Linked DNA regions of Drosophila melanogaster. The protein of the gene in region 2 purifies or fractionates together with the protein of the main gene of each other region. This does not show direct contact. Each region holds a gene or a part of one and is shown on either strand. Other genes may lie near its edges.

Evidence for each region.
Region 1: the proteins of eEF1alpha2 (region 2) and eEF1delta purify together in Drosophila melanogaster (affinity purification with mass spectrometry, with the first as the bait; one large-scale study listed by BioGRID). This does not show direct contact.

Annotation. Positions count from the first base shown.
Region 1 is NT_033779.5:10,228,900-10,236,447, reverse strand, and holds eEF1delta (eukaryotic translation elongation factor 1 delta), read right to left. Parts: upstream 3,942-7,548; 5' UTR 3,876-3,941; coding exon 3,789-3,875; intron 2,968-3,788; coding exon 2,887-2,967; intron 2,692-2,886; coding exon 2,089-2,691; 3' UTR 1,998-2,088; downstream 1-1,997. Other genes in the region: mthl15 (methuselah-like 15), read left to right, coding at 1-73, 162-417, 643-721, 785-963, 1,034-1,420, 1,498-1,661; ova (ovaries absent), read left to right, coding at 6,498-6,743, 6,837-7,034, 7,102-7,263, 7,322-7,548. UniProt on the Drosophila melanogaster protein: EF-1-beta and EF-1-delta stimulate the exchange of GDP bound to EF-1-alpha to GTP.
Region 2 is NT_033777.3:31,735,194-31,742,741, reverse strand, and holds the start of eEF1alpha2 (eukaryotic translation elongation factor 1 alpha 2), read right to left. Parts: upstream 4,275-7,548; 5' UTR 4,213-4,274; intron 3,083-4,212; exon of another isoform or gene 3,033-3,082; intron 2,966-3,032; 5' UTR 2,878-2,965; intron 2,426-2,877; exon of another isoform or gene 2,423-2,425; 5' UTR 2,396-2,422; coding exon 1,573-2,395; intron 1,116-1,572; coding exon 910-1,115; intron 833-909; coding exon 473-832; 3' UTR 1-472. Other genes in the region: CG11563 (uncharacterized protein), read right to left, coding at 4,843-5,083, 5,142-5,426, 5,503-5,600; CstF50 (cleavage stimulation factor 50 kD subunit), read left to right, coding at 5,862-6,797, 6,852-7,190.

The DNA.
Region 1 (7,548 bases), on a different chromosome or scaffold from region 2:
TATCATTCATAACACATTCAAAACCTATACGAATACTCAGTACTGCGTGGAACGGGTCAGACCCAATCAAAAGGTAAACTCCTTCCTATTTAAATCGACATATTTTATACAGTAGTGTCTTGTATAATCCTAATTATTTGCCTTCGTTCCTTTCAGAGCAGCTGTATACATTTTTGTGCTTTGATAATAAGGTGGTGACCGGCGACAGGATTCGCTTCAAGATGTATCCCATTGGCCTGCTCATATCCTGCTGCTTCTATGCACTCACACTGATTGTCTACATTTCAATTGCCAAATTGAGAAACCTGCCCGGCAAAATCCTAATTTGCCTCGTTAGCAGCTTGTTTGCGGCATATCTTGGAATCGCGCTGGGCCAATTGCGACCCACATCGAATGACGACATCTGTTTTCTTTCTGGTGGGTATTGCAGCCATTAGGTAATTAGTTGCTAATCCTGCTGGGACGAGGAGACCTACAAGTTATTATACCATAAAAGCGGGAAATCGATAGCAATCACTTTTATTATTACATTCATAGTTATACTCGTCAAGTACTTAATTGTTTAAGGGTATTTTGTCTCATTCTCTTGTGCAATTTGGTAACTAAAACCTAAACAAACTGTTTCTGTTTTGTATCTTGAAGGTTTTTTCGTGTACTTCTGTTTAATGGCTGCCTTTTCTTGGATGAACATTACTTCCTTTGACATATGGAAAACATTTGGGTAAGTACAAATGCTTTTGAAATTTAGATAAACTTGCAATAATTTACACTTATTTAATTGTAGATCAACAAAGCTTAAAAGCTGCGAAAAGAGCGACCTGAGAAGGCAGTTTATTTGGTATTCGTGTTATGGCTGGGGGCTACCAACATTGCTAACTGGAATAACCATAGCTTTTACGAAATCTGACATTTTACCGGATGCGGTGCGTCCAAATTTTGGACATGGTCGTTGCTGGTTTACGTGTAAGTTAAAAATCTAATTAAATTACGATTTAAATATTAAAGTATTTGTATATTTTTGTATTAATTCCAGATGATTCTTTTGGTTCAGCCAGCTTATTGTTCTTTTCGGGTCCAGTTGGCATACTTTTCATTATAAACTTAGTTCTATTCGTGCTCACAATGAAGTATTGCAACAAAGTAAAAAATGAAATATACAAAATGCAGAGCTTGAACAGCGACAAGCCAGTTTTGAAAAGGCGATTCTTTCAGGACAAAACCAGATTCGTTATGAACACGAAACTGTGTTTCGTAATGGGCATCACATGGCTGTTGGAAATAGTTAGCATTTTGTTTTATGATCACAAGAAAACGTTCTTTTGGACCATCAGCGATTCGTTTAATGTGCTACTTGGAATCTTTGTCTTCATTATATTTGTGTTTAAGCGCAGAATTTATAACGAAATTATGTTTAAGTTTGGTAAGTTTCAGTGGCATCAATTAACTGGCAGTTAGTTGAATATACTACATGTAATTTGTATTTATTTAATCTTTAAGGTCTGCAATCAAATCCGAGCACTGCATCGACTAGAACCCGCGCTGGCGTGACCAAATCCTATGCTCCAACCAGCACCGCGATGACCACTCTTCGACATTCTCCTGGCAGCTGTGAGTTTAAGCGCCAAACGTCGACGAGACCCGAAAACGAAGTTATGCTTTAGGATGGTTAAATAACTTATGATTAACTATTTATAATTTGTAGAGCCTTATGAAACTAGTCCCTCAGTTTAATCATTATTAATATGTGCATAATTTAGCTGTGACCTGGAATATTTATTTAATAGGTAATTTGCATTGTTTTTATACTCGTGCGTAAATGAATTTAATTAATCAAAGAATGGCGAATACATGACTTAAACTAATATATATCTTCTTTTCTTATAAATTTTGAAATAATATGGCCTTTTAGCGAATTCAAAACATATCGTTTGCATAAAAAATATCCTAAAGTAAACTATTTACCAATTACTCCCAGTTTAAATGCAGTTTTTTAAGTTGGTTTTTATCAAAATATTTATTTAGACGACTCCCAAACACATTTGTAATGCGGCAAATCCGATCGTGAATTGAAAAATTATATGTTACCCCTTAGATTTTGTTGAACGCAGCGATGTCAACACTTTGGACAAAGTCTTCCAGTTTCTCGATCTCCTCAGTCAGCCAATCGATGGAAACCTTATCATCCTCAACCACGCATGAAATGCTCAGTTTCTGAATGCCAAAGGCAACTGGCACGAATTTGGAAGCTCCCCACAGTAGACCGTCCTGGGTGATTTTGCGGATTTCCGTCTCCATAACCTTCAGATCGGTCTCATCGTCCCACGGCTTAACATCCAGAATGATGTTCGACTTGGCAATAATTTGAACTTTCTTGGCCTTCTTGGCAGCATAGGCTGCCAGCCTTTCCTCCCTTATGCGGGCGGCCTCTCCATCCTCCTCCTCGCTGTCCGATCCAAATAGATCCACATCGTCATCGTCGTCGTTCGCTTCTGGTTTTTTCGCTTCGACCTCGGGCTCTTTCGACACTCCATTCGTCAATTTCAGCTGAGTTTCCAAGCGCTTCACTGTGGCAGTCAAAAGTTCGTTCAACAAGGAAACCTGGGTCTTCAACTCCTTGTGTTCACCCTCCAATTGGGCCAGACGCTTGGCCAGCTCGGAATTTAAGCCATCGTCCAGAGTAACGCCATCGATCTGGAACACACACAAAAGGCTTGATTAATAATTCAAATTCAAGTCCTCATTGGGATATGTTGATCATAAGTACAGACTAAATATATTGTAAATAATAATTATACAATTCTCTACAAAGTTTTAAAGAAACCGAAAGAAACCTAGGAATGTGAACAAATCAAATGTTGAAATACAAAGATTTATCACAATAGTTACCTTTTCCAGCGAGTTCTGTATGTGTTCCCTAGCCTTTGCGATTTCGCTTACTAATGGGCTGTAGTGGCTGCGATCAGTTACCTTTAAAAATAAGACAACACCATTGATTACTTGTGTGAACTGACATTTGGTGTATCGAATGGTTGACAAAGGATTCTAGGGATAATAATTTTTAAGCAAAATGAGATGTTTTATGTACGGGCATCTACTTCAAGTCTGTTGTCATGCAAGCATGCTGAAATACTGATAAGCCTCACTCTAATCAGCCCAAAAATTGTACGTAGTTTAAATATTATACAATGCAGTGCTATGCATTTTGTGTAGTATATTTGTGTAGATAGAATACAACGTGTTTAAACCTTTACTTAACTATAGTATTTCCCTGAATTTCAATAGGTTTTAACTTTGTATACATCGATTTGTTTTTGGCACATTTCCATTGAATAAACGAATTTTGTTGTGTAGGTGTCATGTTAAGTACTTATGTTTTGCATACTATATTTTGTATTTATACCAATTGCCAAACGGAAAGTGTATTCAAAATTTGGCTTGCCAGAGTTAGTTTTCTCTCACACTCTGTTTTGTATACACTTTACGCACATAGTTATATTTTTTAAAAGTGTTAAACGTTCACCTGTTACATACAGCTACAAGAATATACCAATGTAATGTGCAATATGAACACAGCAATTGAAAATCAAAGGCAGATAAATATAGAAATCTTTTAATAGATCATTCTACGTATGTATTGAAGTTTAGAACATGTGTGTTTCGGCGTCCTTGCTGTTAAAACAAACAGATTTGCAATAAACATTGCCGAAACCATTTGAACTGATTTACCGGCCACGTGAAACTGGCTAACAACTTAAGTACTTATGGCTGTGATTGCTTAGAGATTTTACCTTCTGGGGACCCTCGTAGAATCGCTTCTCGGCAAGATCGTAGCGGCTCTTGTCAGCCCAGAATTTGTCCAATGCCTCTACTTTCATTTTTAGTCTTTCGCCCGCAGATTTACTCAAACACGTTGCACAATTGGCTGAACAATACGATAACACGTTTGAAAGGGAATGCAGGTATATCGATATCTACGCCATCGGATTCGTTTTTTATTGCTACTGAAACGATGGAAATGAAACACGACATTTTTATTTCAACCAAATTTTTAACACGTTCTCATTCTCATACGAACTGCTTTTTGATGTGCGAGTAAATAAACAAATTTATTGCAATTTTTACAAAACGTCCATAAATTGAAACACTTATTAGTGCCCGGAAAGAAATAAAAAAAAAGTTTGATCTCAACGTAGCAAAATGTAAGTTCCACGTGGCACCTCATCGATGTTTGACGAACTTTTGCACAGGCCTGCGGATCAACATGTGTGTATACTTGTCATCAGTTGATTTATTGCTTGTGATGGGTTGCAACGAAATGTTCACCACAATTGTCGTCGTTGCGTGAAGAGGTTTGATGAAAGAGGGATACAGAGGGATACTTTTTTTATATATTATCTTCCACTTAACTATTTAATGCTTCTTCTTCTCTTTAACAAAATTTTTATATCACGGACCTCGTCCTTGTGTGCTACTAAAAAGCTAGAAAAAGATACCATAATAAAAAAAATGTTTTAAAGTTTTTTAAAGGTATACAACTCTCCTTTACTTTGTATAAGAGATTAACAGATGTTTGCGTCAGCTGTGTTTGATGGAATCGAATTAATTCGATGTCGATTTTACACAAAAATTCCAGTACATGTATTTTATTTACAGTAAAAAACTTTTTTAAGAGCAAAGTAAAAGTGCAACATCACATTTTGTTCCATTTCCGCGTTTCAATTTGAAGACTGGGTAGTATTTGTCACAATTATTTCAGCCATTTAGCAGTCAGTTCTCACTTCGACTATTCGATAGCAACTACAACAAATGGTTTTTTTACGAAGAAAGTGTTGTGTACTGTAACTATGTTATCATATTTGTGATTGTAGATCTCGGTGTCTACCGTTTTGTTAATCATTGCGAATTCTTGGTGCGTACTGATGGTGATTCTATTTTGATCGGTTTTTGAGACTCCTTTCTAATGGATTCACTCAGTGATATGTATATGCAGAGAGCACTGAGCATTCCAGAGCACTGAGTTTAATGTATTGCCATACAAAATCGGTGTCGAAATGTTCGTTATCAACCAGTTTAACGTATAAGTGTGTACTATTCAAATTATATTTCAAATGATGCTGAACATAGTAATTTTCGTTGAGTGTATTACATACACTCGTCTAAATCAGGTGGGATATTTATACCACAGCATAATTGTGATGACTCCATTTAACATATGAATATTTGTGTTTATGTATAATTATCTAGAAGTGCTTGTGTGAGTGTGTTTACGTATAAAAATGTCCCAAGTTATGCAGTAAAAATTTTATTTGCAAACTTATTCCACTTCCCTTGGAATACATATGTGTGTTTTTCGTGTGTGTGTGCGTGTGTGTGCATGTACACATATGAGAGCAATTCGTGGTTTTTCAGTAAGGAAATCTGCAGTTAGACGCAAGGTTTATGAGCTGCCCCTTTTGCAAAAGTGAAACGCTGGTCGTGGCTCGCCACAAGAATATATAACTCGTATAAACTGCATAGTTAGCATTCGCGAAGCGATATCGCACAAACCTGTAAGTGGGAACATTCCACTTCATGTCAATTTCATGAAATCGCTAGGCGTAACCACTAGCTTTGGTTCTAAACCAAAGTGGCAACGCCTTTGGCAAAACAAGTATTTTATAAAAAAAAAAGTTTAATCATATTGCTGTACTTTATTGGTACAATGTGTATACGATATATAGTACCTAATAAAGGTACATTTCAAGGATTGTAATTTTGCAAAAAAAAATCATCGATACCTTTATCGATTGTCCCCACGGACTTGACAGTCTGTATCTTCGCCATTTTGTGGTTATCACTCGCCATTTTTTAATGTGACCGTTCATAAAATGGTCCTGCAAAAAAGTAATGTTTGCGGTCACTAAACTAGAGATTTCTAGAACAAAAAGGACGTAAACAGTTATGTATTCTAGACCTTGATCCCTAGGTGTCACAATGTACGTGGCAATTCAATTCCAGGGTAGCTTTAATAGTACCTGAGGGCTTTACGATTATACGAACAAATACGGACTTACAGTCAGTTATGGCTGTATCGACATGGCTAGTAATCCGGATCAAGGCTGTAAAGACTTGTTAGTTTCATATTTTTACGAGTAACTGGCCTTCATCAGGACGGACAGGCAGATGATCATTATATACTTTTCAAGGACTATAGAACAACTATTACACGGTACCTAATTGAGTTTACTCATCACCCTCAGTATTCTCTATTGATCTCGACGTTCATGAGGACGGACAGACATACGGACACAGCTAGATCCATATACTGCGCCCCTTACTTATCACAACTGCTAATAAATATTTGAAATCGTTTGTTTGGTTTGGTTTTAGGAAAGTTTAGTAGTTTTAAATTTTTAAGTAGATATGTTATACATATGTAATCGTTTTAATCGGTTATCTTGGAAAACTATCGATAACATGGCAATAAAATATAACATTTTAATTCACTTGCAGTGACAATGGATGAAAAAGATAAAGCTCAACACAACATGATATCCAACCTACCACTTTTGTTTGCGAACGGATATCCAACATCCCTAGAAAAAATTACGGAGTCCCAGTTAGAAAATTTTATTCCCTTCATGGTGCAATGCTCTTTAGGACACATAAACTTACCAAAGAAAATAGATTGCAGTGAACCAGAATGGTGGCCCGAAAGCGCTCCTTTCGAGATTCCGCTCAAAAAGCCGAAAGCATTTGTTGGGGTAAGCTTTTTTCCCTTACCTTTTGATTTCTATGGCTTATATTTAACATTCACCCCCATAAATGGCTAATATATACCTGTATCTATTTTACAGAATTGGATGGAAAAAATGAAAGAAATTGTGGTTATATGCTATCAATTTCACAAAAGCTTATTTCTATTAAGATTTTGTAATGATTTAGCTGCGTATGAACACGCGAGCTTAAGATTCATAAACAATTATAACTCAACAACTTCATTGTATGACAGGAGAAACAACAAACTGTTGGTTACATTTCGAAATGAAAACATGGTAAGCCAAGCCTACTTTGAATAATTGGGTTTTAAAATTAGTTAATTCTGAATTGGTTATTTTGCAGTCATATGATAGACAACAAAAGAACAGAAAGTGCTTGTTGCTGCAAAAGAACAACAGTTCCATTAGCGAAAACGTACAGCATATGATGGTTGAGCCACCACCTTTTGATATCTACCTATGTGACAACTGTGATGCCGAACTTTATTCTAAAGAAGCTATACTCGTAAGTTGATTGCCAAAGATTGTCAAAGTTAATAGTTAATAACTCTATTGCATAACAGGAACACGAAAACATTTGTTGCATGGAGGATGACGTTATACTTTGTGATTCCCCTGAGCCAGATAACAAAAGTGATGGGAAAAACGAAGATATCGAACAGCGCAACGCCTTTCTCTTAAACTTTAAACTGCAACCCAAATTCTCCGATAATAGTTTATCTAAAGAGAAACAGAAAACATATTCATTCAGCGAAGAAACATCAACGGAAACATCAAACAGAAAGAGGCG
Region 2 (7,548 bases):
TATATATCGAAGGGGCGGGCTACAGCAGTGCTCCGGAGGCCCCTATCCACTCTGCGGAGTGGCTAGCGGGTGGTTTCCTACGAAAGGACTTGCGGTGACGATACATGTTCAGATAGCTGCAGTAGACCACCACGGCGAAGGCGACCAAAACCGACCCGGCGAGCTGGAAGGGCTCCTCCTTCGCATCCTCGCTGCACCTGATGCTCCTCTCCTCGCTAATCGTACGTGTGGTTATTATATAGGGTATAATCTGCTCGATTTCGGTTAATATCTGCCGCTTCTCCCAGCAGCTAGTAATAGTAGTAATTGGTGTCTCTCTTGCCATGGAGTCAAGGTGTGATTTTGATCGTCGAGTGGGTATTATAATTTTGACATGTGTATTGTTGTTGTGTGTTGTTGCTGCTGTTGCTCTAGCCGTCTGTTTTTGTTGTTGTTGGGTTCGAGTGATGACGTTGTTCTGCTGGCACCCTAGTTATTTCTTCTTCTGTGCCTTCTCAGCGGCTTTTGTCACCTTGCCCGAGGTCGTCTCTTTAAAGTTCACCGACTTGATGACGCCCACGGCCACGGTCTGCCTCATGTCGCGCACAGCGAACCGTCCCAGCGGTGGGAACTCCTGGAAGCTCTCTACGCACAACGGCTTGCTGGGCACCAGCACAATGATGGCCGCATCCCCGGACTTGATAGCCTTCGGCTCCGTCTCGGTGGTCTTGCCCGTACGGCGGTCGCACTTCTCCTTGATCTCGGAAAACTTGCAGGCAATGTGCGCCGTGTGGCAATCCAAGACGGGAGTGTACCCATTGGCGATCTGGCCCGGATGGTTGAGCACAATCACCTGTGGGCAAAAAGAAAAAAAAAAACCAAACAAAGATGAGTTCAACTATCAAAGATTTCTCATCTTTGTTACCCTACCTGAGCGGTAAAGTCGGCTGCTCCCCTAGGAGGATTGTTCTTGGAATCGCCGGCCACATAGCCACGACGGAGCTCCTTCACGGACACGTTCTTCACGTTGAAGCCAACGTTGTCGCCGGGCATGGCTTCGGTGAGAGCCTCGTGGTGCATCTCCACAGACTTTACTTCGGTGACCAGGTTGACCGGCGCAAAGTTGACGACCATGCCTGAAACGAAACCGGAAACGAAGCGACCGAAACGAAGTTACATATCCGGACGTTATGTGTAGACATTTGGATGGGGGTGGGTGCATACAGAGAGAGAAACGTGGAGCGATATTATTCGAACTAACTCCAATTTATTTTTATTTGAATCAATAGCTCTACATATATTAATATGTTAGCTAGGGTTATTTTATTTTAATGGCCTTTCACTTTCATGTTGAAAATGGAAGCTCTTCGGAGTGAGAATTTCACCAAGTGCATGAGGTGGAGGGTCTCGCTCTCGACGAAGACGTTCGCTCAATAATGCATACATGCGCAAGACTTCGTTGCGGGCTCCGCTTTGGAGGCGGTGGCTGTTGGATGCCAGCCCACTGTCGACCCAAATTTTGCAGAATACATGTATGAAGTGCCCAAAGAGAAAAGAGGGCCCACACCCGACCTCATCAACCCGGAGCCTTACCTGGCTTGAGGAGACCAGTCTCCACACGACCTACTGGTACGGTTCCGATGCCTCCGATCTTGTAGACGTCCTGGAGCGGCAGGCGCAGCGGCTTGTCGGTGGGACGCTGGGGTGGAAGGATCGCGTCCAGCGCGTCGATCAAGCACTTGCCCTCTGCCTTGCCTTCCTTGCGCTCCACGGACCATCCCTTGAACCAGGGCATCTTCTCGGACGGCTCCAGCATATTGTCGCCGTGCCATCCGGAGATGGGCACGAAGGCCACCGAGGCCGGATTGTAGCCGATCTTCTTGATGTACGAGGACACCTCCTTCTTGATCTCCTCGTAGCGGGCCTCGCTGTACGGCGGCTCAGTGGAGTCCATCTTGTTGACGCCCACAATAAGCTGCTTCACGCCCAGCGTGAATGCCAGAAGGGCGTGCTCGCGGGTCTGGCCGTTCTTCGAGATCCCGGCCTCGAACTCTCCAGTTCCGGCGGCGACGATCAGCACCGCACAATCGGCCTGAGAGGTACCGGTAATCATGTTCTTGATGAAATCCCTGTGACCAGGGGCATCGATGATGGTCACATAGTACTTGGACGTCTCGAACTTCCATAGGGCAATGTCGATGGTGATGCCCCGCTCCCGCTCTGCCTTCAGCTTGTCCAGTACCCAGGCGTACTTAAAGGAGCCTTTTCCCATTTCCTGGGCCTCCTTCTCGAACTTCTCAATCGTACGCTTGTCGATGCCGCCGCATTTGTAGATCAAGTGGCCGGTGGTCGTCGACTTGCCGGAGTCCACATGGCCAATGACCACAATGTTAATATGGATCTTCTCCTTGCCCATCCTTGCAGATTAAGCTATTTTTTAGAGCTGCTGGGAGACAGAAGGGATGCAGGTATTCGGATGAGCAAAGTGGGTGGTTTCCGTACTCGGGGAGGTAGCATGCCAATGTGGGTCTGAACTTAATGGGTGGTGCAGACGAGTGACGTCTGTATGCTGTGGGTCGTGTCATCGTGGTGTAGACACCAAAAGCACACTTCATACGGACAGGCACAAACGTACACCAGGGAAAACCATTGAACTTTTATATTTCGAAAATACGAATTTTAAACAATTCAAGAGTAAACACGAAAATCACGCGAAAAGTTTACCAATTAGTTCAAATTAAGCCTTATACTGAATAATAGGAAAAATATAAATACACATGTATGTTTTTACGGACTCTTATGGACACTAATGTGTACGATTGAGAAATACACCCATATTCCCATAATATTTTTGCCCACAAATGTATGCAGCAAGAATTTACAAGCAGAAAAACTCACCTGTTTTCACGAGACTTTCTAGAGTTTCTTATTACTCGGCAACGCTGCGCACTTAGAAACTGATCACAAACCCACGCGACGCTATATCCTAGAATTAGAAGGAAATCGTTGTCATAAAAATGGCAGTTTTTAAACTCTATGCGGATCTTCCGTACTCTGCAGCCGGACCACGACCGGGCCAAGTGTCTGTTGGTTAAAGACTGCCGTGTATATCCTCTGCCGAAGTGCACCGGGCGAAAAATCAATAACGAGCCCCAGACAGAAACGAATGGAGCCGAAGTGTGCGTACTGGGAAAATGCACTCTCCTCGGCTGGAGAGGATTAAGCCGAAGAGAAACCCTCGTCGGAAAGCCGGGAAGTGCGGCAGTGCATGGCGAAAATGTGCCGGCCGGCGTTTTTAGTGGGAAAACCAATGAAAATCGCACACCCAAACGGATTTCAATTAAAGCCAAATGTCGAAATGCCGAAATTTGGCAGCTTTCGCAGCACGGTGGAAGAAAATTCAAAGGGAAATGGCCAAAAGCATCGGCATTCGGTGGCGGTCGTGCGGCGAAAATTCCGCGATTCCAAAGGGTGAAAAACTGTAGAGGGAGATGGAGAGAGCGGGAGAGAAAGGGACGGCGAACGGGCGCAGTGCACTTGCTGGTCATGCAGAGAAGGAAGGGAAAGAGACGGCGAGAACTGCAGGGCGTTGTGATTTATTTTCTACCCCAGTGACAGTTTCACTTGCCGATTTTCCTGCATGTTATTTTTAAATCTTTGTATTTGCATCGAAGTGCAAATTGGAAGAAGCAATGGGAATGAAGGGGGAAAGAATATGCAAAAATACTTCGTCAGAGATGCAGGGCAGGAAAATAATCTGCTAACCATGTGTCATCATGCCGCGGATATTTTTTTTTTGCCTGCGAATTCCAATAGAAACTACTCGGGAATAAACGGCTTGAGAACGGGAAGGAGAAACGGGTACAATCCAGGCAAAATCGAACGCGCACACACATGCAGCCGGTCGCCATGTTGGAATTCGAAAGTCTATGCAACTTTATTAATTTACTTGCAATTTAAGGTCGCTGGAAAACCAATTTCCAATTCGAATCGATTTACACAGCTATTATGCAAAAGGAATGAGAAGACCGGCCGGCAGCGCAAATCACTTACACTCTCTCACTTTTCGGAACTTTCTTTACTTTAGAACTTTCTTTAGGTTGGAAAATCGAACCGAAATTCGCCTAATAATGCAGGGTAGGGAATTCTGGGACTTTCCCTTTTTACATTTCCACAACTAATCAATGCCTATTAATATTTTCACAATTTAACGGGAGCTCTGCGTGCACTTACCTCGAAATCACAAAACGGAAAGACCGAAAAAGCAACGATGCTGAGGTGAACGGAGCTGAACTGATTCCGACCTAGAGATGGCACAGGATTCCATGTATGACAAGGGCCTTGGGTTTCCTATTGCATTATGCGGATTTCTTGACTTAAATAAAGTTTCCATCCCTTAAGTATAAAACGTACCAAAATAAAAATAGTAATACAATTTTACTACCATTCATGGAATATTTTATATTCTCTTAAACTGAGTCTTTTGCAGATAAAATAATATAGTACTTTCACGGACTGTCACTAAAAGTATGCACATTCACCACTAATTGCAAAAGACATTGTGCACACTATTCGCTTATGCGTTGAAATAAGACGCAAGCTCCTTCCTTTCTCTCTCTCTCGTCCTGTCGTACGACAGAACAATAGAAAATTTGACAGAACAAAAATGTTAGAAAGGAATTTGAAAAAATACTGTTAATAGTAATGTAATGTAATTAACAGTAATGCTTTAATACGTAGACCTTTTGCGTTCGTCTTTACTTGCCTATTTTATTGTATTAAAAGAATTAAAGTAAGTCTAAACATTACAATTAATAGCATTAGAACCCGAAAACGACTATAATGTACATTGGTCAAGAGCCATTATTTCCATTCACTGTCCGACTCGTATTCCTCCCAGTCCGGTTTCACGCCCACGGGCAACTTCTTCTGCTCCAGGTAAACGTTAAACTGCTCCGGAATCGACATAAATCTGCGAATCTTCAAGCGGAACTGCCGCCACGTCCACTGGCCAAAGTTTTTCCGATCGGCAACCATCGCCTTGTAGTTAAACTTATGTTTGTTAAGAAAGTAGGACAGTTCCTTGACCACGCCCTTGGGTAATCTGTGCAAATACAAAACCTGTATTTTGACAGTTTTCCATTGCAGAATCAATATTTTACCTGAACTCTGGGTCGGCTCGCTCGCTAGCCAGTTGTTCTAGTTCCTGGACTACGTGTCCACGTTTTGGACCCTCCTCTACGACTGGTTTCTTGAGGCCCAATACACGCCGCTCATCCTCGTCCAGCTCCTCCTCCAGAAACCCATTCACAACTCGGGCCGCTAGGAGGCGGTCCTTCTTGTAGCTGGGAATCGCAATGGCCTTGTTGACGTCCTTGGCCAACCCCATTTCACTGAAGTTGGTGCCCACACGCTGGTCCTCCATCCACATCTTTTTCATCCTGGGACTGGTAAGATCATAACAGAAGGTTTTCGTAAACTTGTTGACTCTATTGGCTGTAAGTGCACCAAGATCCAACTTACTCCTTAATTTTTCCGGTGGAACTCCGGGTTTTATTCATCGTCTTGCGGTTTACATTGTAGCGATAACGCTTGCGAGCATGATTCTTGCGGATCTTCATTGTTGAGAGGTTTAATTAATGAATCAAACAATGTTTAAAATCAATTGAGGGGACCAAAACAATTTTAAAACCGCACGTGTTGCAGCTGTTAGGAGTGACCGTGGACCGTAAAATACCGAAACCCTGATTTCAGTATTTCAATACCGCATAGCTAGAGATGACATACCGGCAAGATAAATGTTTTCGATAACGATAACGGCACGGCGTTATCTACAAGATTTTGTTTATATCCGTAGGAAACAAAATATAAATTAAGCCACCATGCGTGATGAGATTTTGGACCCCAGTAACCTAGTGAAGAACCGGGAGATACTCTACCGACTGATGATCAGCCAGCTGATGTACGACGGCCTGGAGAAGTTCGCCATGGAGCTGTCCATGCTGGTGAAGGCGGACCAGTGCGCTCCCAGTGAACGCCTGCTGCACGTAATGATTGCAGGGATGCAGACGCTGAGCGACAAGGACAAAACCAACTCGGATGATGTGCTGCCCGGCATAGACTTGGAATTCGAGCCGGAGGCTTCGGCCTTGGCCCCGGAACCACATTCCTACGAAACCGCGTATGTGACCTCGCACAAGCAGGCCTGTCGCGCCGGCGCCTTCAGTTGCGATGGTTCCCTGGTGGCCACCGGGAGCGTGGATGCCAGCATCAAGATTCTGGACGTGGAGCGGATGCTGGCGAAGTCTGCGCCCGAAGATATCGAGCCGGGCAGGGAACAACAAGGCCATCCAGTGATTCGCACGCTCTATGATCACACTGATGAAGTGTCTTACCTGGAGTTCCATCCCAAGGAGCACATCCTGGCCTCCGCCTCGCGCGATGGCACTGTTAAGTTGTTTGACATTGCCAAGCCTTCGGTAAAGAAGGCCCACAAGGTGTTCACCGACTGCGAGCCGGTGCTGTGCCTGTCTTTTCATCCTACTGGTGACTACGTAGCCATCGGAACGGAACATAACGTCTTGCGGGTCTACGATGTGGCCACCACCCAATGCTTCGTGAGTGCCATTCCCTCGCAGCAGCACAAGGCTGGAGTTACTTGCGTGAAATATTCGCCCACGGGGAAACTCTACGCCACAGGCAGCTATGATGGTGACATCAAAATATGGGATGGGATCAGCGGGCGGTGCATCAACACCATTGCCGAGGCGCATGGCGGAGCGGCAATATGCTCACTGGAGTTTACGCGGAATGGAAAGGTAATGGGACACTATGGGTAGTGGCTGTGCAAGATTTTAACTTATTCATTTTAGTACCTCCTATCTTCCGGTATGGATTCACTGGTTTATCTGTGGGAGCTGTGTACCAGTCGTCCCATTCAGACGTACACGGGCGCTGGAACCACCGGCAAGCAGGAGCACCAGACAGAGGCTGTATTCAACCACACAGAGGATTACGTGCTTTTCCCCGACGAGGCCACCACTTCGCTTTGCTCGTGGAACTCCCGTAACGGCTGCCGCCTGACCCTTAACTCGCTTGGACACAACGGACCTGTCCGCTATATTACGCATTCGCCCAATGGTCCTGCTTTCCTCACCTGCTCCGACGACTTTCGGGCACGTTTCTGGTACCGAAGAGCAAATAATCAGTAAACGGATGAAGCTACACCAATCGAATAAAACTTTAAGGAATAAAATATGTACACGTTCATTATTCAATTATTGTGATTGGCTGTGGGGGTTTTTAAGTGTATCGATTTGTGATTTTATCAGAATTAATGAAATATGTTTCAAACGCTTTTAAAAATAATTAATCAGTAAAATTTTCTTTATTAAAAACTCGTTTGTGGTTTTTCCATGAATAGTTATCCTAAAATCGCAACTATAATTTCTAGTCATTGAGCGCACAAGTCTTAAGTCGTATTTGTTGCGTTAAGTAAACTGTAAAAATCATAATACATAATACCAGATTGGGATTCCGTATAAATATCAGTTGTCTCTTCACTGGAAG